2 linked regions of the Rattus norvegicus genome follow. The protein of the gene in region 1 purifies or fractionates together with the protein of each later gene. This does not show direct contact. Links are inferred from orthologs where the notes say so. Each region holds a gene or a part of one and is shown on either strand. Other genes may lie near its edges.

What was found. Proteins that work in one complex are often made in the same cells at the same time.
Region 2: the proteins of Ppp2r5d (region 1) and Ppp2cb purify together in Homo sapiens (affinity purification with mass spectrometry; 8 studies listed by BioGRID and IntAct, counting the BioPlex papers as one, with this or other methods). This does not show direct contact. The link is inferred for Rattus norvegicus from reciprocal best matches to the Homo sapiens genes PPP2R5D and PPP2CB.

The regions. Positions count from the first base shown.
Region 1 is NC_086027.1:21,772,170-21,777,115, reverse strand, and holds the start of Ppp2r5d (serine/threonine-protein phosphatase 2A 56 kDa regulatory subunit delta isoform), read right to left. Parts: upstream 3,224-4,946; coding exon 3,197-3,223; intron 1-3,196. UniProt on the Homo sapiens protein: The B regulatory subunit might modulate substrate selectivity and catalytic activity, and might also direct the localization of the catalytic enzyme to a particular subcellular compartment.
Region 2 is NC_086034.1:65,268,386-65,272,666, forward strand, and holds part of Ppp2cb (serine/threonine-protein phosphatase 2A catalytic subunit beta isoform), read right to left. Parts: intron 2,026-4,281; coding exon 1,816-2,025; intron 941-1,815; coding exon 767-940; intron 1-766.

The DNA.
Region 1 (4,946 bases):
GCTCCCAGGCCTGAGCATTTGAGCAGTGGCTGGATGACCTCCCCTAAGGCGTGCTACAAAAGGATTCAAGCCTTAGAGGGGAGCTGGATTGGAGGACCTTGGAAATCACTTCCAGCTCCGAGAGTCTGCAATTCAACAGCAGCCAAGCCCCTTCAGTAAGAAGTGTTAAATCAAATGATTGTGACTATGGGGCGAACCGATCTCAGGGAGAAGAGTTCTGTGTGGGCTGGAGCAGGGGGGGAGGCTTTCTGGGGGTGGAGAGGGAAAAACATTCCCGGATGAGGAGTAGCTGAGAGCTCTGCCTAGGGAGGAAGGGGCTCTCTGGGCTGAGCGTTCTCCCACTGCACTGACCGGGCTGGCCACACGACTCCTGTCAATTGCTCTGAGCAAGTGGTGGAGAGAGAAAAAAATGCAGCCAGGACCCAGCACCAAAGTGACTGACAGCACACAGCAGACATGGGCCCTCCAACAAAGCTGACCCACCACCATTCAAGGCTTGTCTCCCTACTTGATCATAAGCTGCCTAAGCCTCTTGTACCCCTCCACCCACCTTATGGCGCTGAGCACGATGCCTGAGACACATCTCTCAGGGAATGTGCCTGAGAGACTCAGCTGCCTTGGTGTGTGGGTGTGAGTGGGTGTAGGGGAACAGGGCCCACAAGCCTTGCTCCCTGTCTTCTGAAGAACAGGTGAAGCACACACACTGTGGCCCGGCCCAGCTGTCGCATGACAGGAGGCATTGGGCTTTCCAGCCAGCACTGTTCTGAGATCAACTCTTATGTTCCGGTGAGGAGGTAATGAGCCTCTCTCTGCCTCGTTTTCCTCACCTATTAAACAAAAGCCAACCGTAGGATCCACTTCCCTTAGCCCAGTGTCTGGCACAGAAAATCCGAATGTCGATTAAGACTGCTACTATAAACAACAAAGTGGGAGGGAGCAGGGGTACTTCATGCAGGAAAATTAAAAAAAAAAAAAAAAAAGACCTAAATCCAATCTCAGAAGGGAAAGCTGCTCGTCTCACCAAAGATAGACTCGGCACCAACTTACTAAGCACCTACTGTGTGTAAGGGACATACCAAGCCTGCACACAGTTGTTAATACCTCAGGAAGGGCAAGATGTGTCATTCCCATGCAAGCCTGAATGCAGTCTGTAAAGTGGGCCCAAGTGAAGGCCCAGGAAAGGCTTGGCCGAGGAAGCATGGAGGACAGATATCGAGGAGAAAAGGGACAGGTGACGGATGAGCAATAAGGAGCCTCCACCCACCTGTCTTTGTGCCTCCATCCTGGTACACCTCAGTCACACTGTCATCTCTCTCCCCCTCAGAACCCGAAGGAGGCCAAATGCAGCCCAAAATCCAGTGCAGGAGATCAGCTCTCATAAAGGGCTCCACGGCTGCTTCCCCACACCGCAATCCTCCCAGTGCCCCTTCTCAAGCAAACCACTCACAGCCCGAGGAAGCCTAAGAATGTCCCCTCTAATTCTCAGTCACCCGCTAGGCAAAGGCTTTCTACAGATGGGACAGGATCTGGTCCACAGACTAGAAACAGATGCCTAAGGAGATCCCTTCTCCTTCCCTGAACTCCGCAGGCCTCAGTTCCCAGCTTAGCTAACTTAAGTGCGCAGTCCCTACAGCTGGCTGGCGCCCACTGCCGAGCCCACTCCCCACGGACAAGACCTGGGGAGGGCACACAACTATACCCGGCTCATCACCCACCACCCGTCCTATGCACTGACTCTCAGACGGAGAAGTTCCGGTGACAGCCCATAACCAGAGCCACCTGGCAAACACGATAAGGAGTTTGATCGATAAGGTTAGAGATGGTGGCCCACCATTGATCAGGGGAGAAATGAATGCAAACCACCTCTGGGGTCCTCAGGAGAGTGGACTACAATACCAGGCCAGAGCTAGCTCAACACAACTAGTATTCCAGCCTCCCCAGTTACAGTCTGCATCTTGGAAGAACCACACATCTCAGCAACAGCAGCAAACAAAGGGTAGAGAAAGGCAGGGAACAGGTGAGGGTGGTTTGGAGGTAAAAGACGGTAAAAGAAGGCAAACATCAAGAAATGGCCTAGGCGGCGGGAGTGTAGCTCAATGGTACTACACATGCTTAGCATGGGCAAGACCCTGGGTTTGATCTCTAGCACTACAAATAATACAAAAATGTCCCGTGTAAGGACGTTTACAACCAAGTGTGCATGTTCAGGATGGCTGGACTGCAGGACGAGAAGCAACTAAACAGAACAGGGCCGATTTCTGCTTTAATATGTCCCAAGAAAGGAAGAAACCCTGTCCTGGTGCACAATAGAAAATGCAAAGGTTATCCTAAGGAATGCTGGGAGGAGCCTCCTCAGATTAGGAACCGCGTCCTGTCTGGGGTGAACACAGAAGCCAGCTGATGCCAGTTAGGCTCTTGCACAGAAGAGCCCTCCAAGTCGGGAGACCTGAGATTGCAGCTGGGCCCTCAGCAGGATGTGTGACCTTGGACAAGTCCCTTCCCCTGACACGGCCTCAGTCTCCTCATCTGTACCACTAGGATAATACACTGCATGTGCTCAAAATCTCCCTTCCAGCGCCGACGTTCTGGGGTTCCATCAACAGAAGGAAGGGCTCGGTCCTGGCTTACAAGTTTGTGTGTAAAGGAAGACTCGAGGGAGGGGCCTAGGCCAGATTTGGGCGGAGGAGAGAAAAAGCAGAGCGGTTCTAGGTCAGGGGCTGGTCGTGGAGGGAGAAGGGACTGTACAGAACTGTGGAGAGGCCGTCTTTAAGCTGGTGGGGAAAAGAGGGAAGGGGCTGCACAGGGCGGGGGTGGGGGGAGTACTGGAGGGAGACGCGGTCTTAGAGGAGGACTGTCCCAAACCCGTGGGGGATCAGGGACAGAGAAAGGCGGGGAGAAAAAGCAAGGGAGTGAGCTGGGAGTGGAGCAGATCTTGAGGGGGCCGGGGGTAGGAGCAAAGAGGAAGGGAAGAGGGATAGGTGGGGGGAAATCTGTCCGGGCAAAGACAGAGAGCTGTCCCAGCTGCTGCACGGGCTGGGGGCGCTGCCAGCCGCGCGGCCCTGGGGCTGGCCGCGGGAGTGCTGCGGGGGGCCGGACCAGAGGGTCAGTCTGAGGCTGTCCCGGGCCTGCCTCGGGCCCCTCCCAGAGCTGCGCGCAGGCCCGGCGGCGGAGGCACTAGGGGAAAGGCCACGCTCACCTTATCCTTCTTCAGTTTATAGGGCATCTCGGCCGGTCCACACCCGGCCCGGCTCCTGCGGCCCCGCTCCGGCTCCGGCTCTGCTCGGCCGCACTCGGCCCGCTCGGCGTCTCTTCGCCACCGCCTGCGCGCTGCGCCCGGGCCGAGCGGTGGCTGCGCTTCCAATTGGCCCGAACTCTTACAAACCTGCCTGACAACCAGGCGCCGCCTCCTCGGATTGGTCATTGGAGCCAAGCAGCTTCCCTTTTTTCTCATTGGAAAGAACGAGTACAAACCGCCAGGGTTCGGCTCCTAGAATTGGCTGGAGTGGAAGGTCCCGCCCTAGAAAGGGTCGGGCTTCGTGGAGGGGGCGGGGCCATGGGGAAACCGGAGCTGGGCTGGCAGAGCTGCACTCCGGCGTCGCCTTATGCGTCGTCCTCTGCTATTCTTCAGTCCTTTGAGCTCTGCTCCTTCCCTCCAGAAGTGGCTCTCACGTTTTCCCCTACTCTTCTACCTGCCCTGCTCCGTTCGGACTGGAGGAAAGAGGCCCTAACACGAAAGGGCACCTTTCTTCACAGGAATTTAAAGTAGCTCAAATTGAACATGTGAAATTGATAGAGAAGACTCCCAAGGGTCCTCCCGGGCATTCATCAAGTCTGTCCTAGATCACCGTTGTAGAGGAGCAGAGGGGGAAGCCTATCAGCGGTGGAACCGGACTGAAATAAAAATAAGAAACCTTGGTTTGCTGCAGCTTCAAGACGTGGATTCCTGTAGCTATTGCAAGGGTGCTGGGGTCAGTAAACCAGTTGCGTTTTGAGCCACTGAGATGAAGTAGAAAAGCAGCCTCATCGTTCCGTGTCCCAGAAAACCTATCCCTACCTGTGCTGCCGCACCCAAGCCAGTGTTCTAGTGGATAAGACTGGGTTCTTGCCCTCAGGTAGTTCCCACTCTAATGAGGTTCACAGACTCGTATTAAGAGATGATTAAAATACAATCACATAAATTACACAAACCTCAGAGTGACATGGAGGAATATATTTTAGTTATCCCAGTAGCCAACAGACTACATTAAAAAACTGGAGGAGGTCCATCAAAAATAAGCCGGTGAGCTGGGTGTGGTGGTTTGCCACTGTAATCCCAGCCCTGGGAAGGTAGAGGCAGGATGATCAGGAGCTACAGACCAGCCTTAGCTAGAGCCAGTTACAGACCTGTTTGGACTACAGTGAGAACCTCTTAGAACAAAACAAAACAGAAAACAAAGACAAACCCACCTGGCCACCACCACCAACAACAAAACCAACTCTCAGAACTAAAAAGTAACAAGTAAGCCTGTGGCTGTTTGTTCCACAGGTAAGAGGCCTTGGATTCCCCCCAGCAGCACAAATAACTAAACAATTAAATAGCCAATGATCCTTACACAAAGAGCAGTAGCCATGAGGATGGAAAAGATGGGGCTGGGCTCTTCCAAAAGACCTGAATTCAGTTCCCAGCACCCACATGAGCCAGTTCACAATTGCCTGTAACTCCAGACCCAAGGGATCTGATACACATATACATACATACATACATACATACATACATACATACATACATACACATAATTTTAAAACTTCAACAACAGAATGGGAAAGAAAAAACAAGACTCGGTGTTTATGAGTACTTGCTGTTCTTCTAGACCCACATAAGCTGGTTTACAACCCCCTGTAACTCCAGCTGTGGGGTGGGGGGGTGGGGGGGAGGTGTTGCGGGGAGTGGGAAGATGGCCGTGGGG
Region 2 (4,281 bases), on another chromosome or scaffold:
AAGACCTGCTAACATTCAAGTTTTATTCTGTGTGTTGTACATGAATTTAAATCAGCTCACTGTGCAGCCTCTAAATGGTGAACTAGGAAACCTGTGTAATGTCTTATATGTATGCCTTAAAACTTACTATGCTGGAAACAGAGATCCCTCTTGATAAAAAAGATATAATATACAATATTATGTTTGTAGTTATCATGAAAATAGGAATAAAAAGCTACTAATGGTAACCAGGGAACGTAGTAATATGGGCACAATTTCCAATTACATCTTGTGTTACTAATAATATATATGCCCCAAGACTTAAGCATTTATTTACACTGTTTTTGTTTTGTTTTGTTTTGTTTTGTTTTTTAGAGCACACATTAGGGCACACATCTTCTTTGGCCAGAAGACCAGAGGCAGGGGAAGCAGGGCTTGGTGACTGAAGCCTAGAACCCCAGCTACTTGGGAACATAAGGCAGGAGAGTTGAGCTGTGCTGAGAGTACGGTCAAGTCTGAGCCTGAGCAATTGAGTGAGACTCCCTCCAAAATAGGCATACACAAAACCCAAAACCCACCACCGCCAAACCAACCAAATCATGAACGGGGCTGTAGCCCAGGGGCAGCGCCCTGGCTTGGCACCAGGTTTAACTCCCCAGTACTGTATTAATCAGAATAGACAGAGACTTACATAACTTGTCAATACAGATCCTGGATGCCTGATAGTAAATGTTCTCCCACATTTAACCTCCTTCTGCAAGACACCGTCACCCACATATACACACACCTGTCCATCTACTAAAGCTGTAAGTGGAAGATAATCAAAGAGATCTGTAAAGTATTTCCACACGTTGGCGTTCCCATACTTTCGTAGGCATTCATCATAAAAGCCATATACTTGTGTGATCTGCCGGCTTTCATGATTTCCTCGCAATATTGTGATACGCTCTGGATAGCGCACCTGGAAGACAAGGAAAAGAAACCCGTCACACAACCACGTCTCTCCAGTGCTGTTACCTTTAACCTCGAATCCATTTCTTTAAGAAATGGATTCTTTTGTCCATTTTTAAATTAAATTTAAGAACGGGTATATACATATGATATATATAGAACAAGTGGATTTTATGCTTAGACTTGGGTCCCCTACTAAGACATCTCATTATGAATATGCAATTTTCTGAAATCTAGAAGTCCTAGGCATTTGTCTGAGCAGGAGTAGTAAGAAGGAAGCAGCCAGAGCAATCTTGTGGGGAAACTAGAGAAAGAAACAGAAAAGCCTAGAGTAGAGCATGAATAAAAATGTTCTTTGAGGGGAGACACTCTTGCTGTGAGTTACAGGCAGGTAATGTAGACAGACTACAGGAGAGCTGCAGCATTTAATGGGTTTGACTCTCGTGACTGTGTGACATCAAAGAGGACTCTGGGAACAGGGAAGTAGCAAGATAGACAGGAGCTGAGATTCATCCGGCAGTCAACACAGGGATGAAAGGAGCAGATCTTGAAGGCAGACGTGTGGAGTGCAGGGCAGTACAAACAGGAAGTCAGAGGAGCAATGGGCTTCCCATGCCGTGAATTAAACACTTGTTTAATGATTCCATATGAAGGTTGGTAATTAAATATAATTCCAGAGCTCAGTTATAGACAACCATGAGTTACACATTCATCAGAAATAGACGGAAGTTTTAAGCATAGACTTTCCTCTCTCTTTAAAAGATGGAAAGCCAACTATTATTTAAGACCAAACGCACCATGAAATTAAAGATGATTCATGCTGCACATTCTTCTGCCTTTGGCCTCCTCTGAAGTTCACCCCCGCCCCACATTCATCAATCATACCTTTAATGCTACAAGAAGAGTCACGGTCTCCACAGAATAATATCCTCTGTCTACATAGTCACCCATGAATAGATAGTTGGTGTCTGGTGATTTTCCACCAATTCTGAAGAGTTCCATAAGGTCATGGAATTGGCCATGCACATCTCCACAGACGGTAACAGGACAGCGAACCTCTTGTACATTTGATTCTTTTGTTAAAATTTCCTTAGCCTGTTAAAAAAGGAAAATAAATATTCGGTTACAAACTTAACATTTCTTACCTACTGAAAAAAAAAATGTGGGGAAACCCACTTGGGAGTATAAAGTAAACCAATACCCTACAAAGGGATGGGCCGAAATACAGCTATCATAGCAAAGGCCAGAAATGACATATCTACAAAGACATGGAGAACCTGGAACCCTTACGTGACGCTGGTAGGAATCAAAGTGAAATTTGTTTCAAGTGTCCATGCAGCACTGTTCTTTTGCTGAAGGATTTTTTTTTTTTTTTTGGTTCTTTTTTTTTCGGAGCTGGGGACCGAACCCAGGGCCTTGCGCTTCCTCAGCAAGCGCTCTACCACTGAGCTAAATCCCCAACCCCGAAGGATTTACTTTTACTTTGTATTTATTTGTCTGTGTATGCCCCATGTGTCCAGGTGCCAGCGGAAGCAGAAGAGGCATCTGATCCCCGAGCTGCAGTTACAGGTGGTCATGAGATACCTGACAGGAGCACTGGGACTGAACTCAGGTCCCCTGGAGGTGCAACAGGTGCTGATAGGAGTACAAATAATCCAAGCGCCCATTAAGCATGAGCTGATATAACACAGCACACCCAACCAGGTAGAGTAAGTGGGAACCAACAATAAAAACAACGCACCGATATGTGCTGTAATCTATGCTTTAACCAAAGAAGCTATGTGACAGACAGATGACTTCACTCACTCCCGAGTCCAGAAGAGACGACAGAGGTAGAAAGTAGACGACGGCTGCTTAGCACTGCACAGAGAGGACCAGAGACCGGGTGTGGGGCCTGAGGGCAGTGAGAGGCTCCAGTGTGATGGAGCTACACAGATGGATGTCATCTAGACTGGCCTCACCTCCGCAGCCAGTTCCAGGCCAGCCACGGGTACACAGGGAGACCTGTTTCAAAAAAGCCCCCAGATAAACCAAACGACTTCTTTCCACGACAAATACGGAACTCACCACTTACTCAGATTTATTTTCCCAAGTTCACGACTGTCTTTACTGATTTGTGTTGCTACTGCTGGAGACGGTCATGCCCTGCCCTGCCCTAATGACATCATGGTGGACCATATACCACGGACAACAGTGGTCCTGAGATGTTCCCACTGTCTCCCCAGTGACAAAGCTGTCCGTTGGTTAACGTGAAGTAATGCCGGTACGAAAATCCAGTCTACTGGGTGACCAGATGTAAAAGGCACATGCAATTCTATATGTACCACAGATGTGAGGTAAACACAGGTGACTGTCGCTAGGGCATTTCTGTGGAACTTTAAAAGCCGCGTGAAACGCTCTGCTGAATTCTGCCCACGGCAACCTCACACATCTTTGTGCTTTCTGCATCTTCCGACTGTGATTTTCTCCTGTGCCACATCTAAGTTGGGCTTAACTACCCTTCATGACATTCTCATGGCAAAACTACCTACTGACGAATTTCAACTTCTGAGAACACGACTCAACGTTCAAGCAGCGTATAGCTACAATCCATGATTAATATTCAATTGACACTATGCCAGGACTTTAAAAAAGTTGAGTCTAATGCTTTGATGTTTTAAGTTCCTTCCCTTTATTTATTTTGGGTGCGGTGCTAAAGACTAAACCCAGAGACTTACGCATGCTAAACATAATCTACTGCTGAGCTGCACACCAGCCAGTATCTCTCCACACCTGATTTAAGCTCCACGACTCACTTCGTGTTAATCGTGTCTACTTCAGTACTAGCAAACTCTCCTGGATTGTGTCTACAGGTGACCCCACTCCTCCCTTTCCATGAATCTACTTAGCACGACCTGAACACGAAGCACAACACTGTGTGCTCCAGAACAGTCTGTGGTTTTAGTCAGGAGACTCTTTTCTTAGTTAGATCCTGCCTCAAAACAACAAACCAAGAAGCCCAGGTTGGCCTACAACTTGACTGAGATAGATGGCTTTGCCTCCCCTTCTCAAGTTCTCAGTCATGAGATTTGAGGAGTTTTAGTAGCCTGTCTTGGTCAAGGTCTTATCTTTTTAAAAGAATTGATTCTGTTCAGTTTTGTCTGTGAGTGTATGTGAATGTGTGTGTGCTGGTGTTCATGCCTGTGTGTGCTTAGAAGCCTGAGACCATGTCAGATTCCCTCAGAGCTTCTTACAGGTCTCAGTGATTCCTGAGCCTGTAACACAGATGACATGGTCTGAACTCTGGTCCTCGAGGCTGTGTAGCAAGCACTCTTAACCACAGAGCCAGCATGGCAGCCAGGGGCTCGTTTT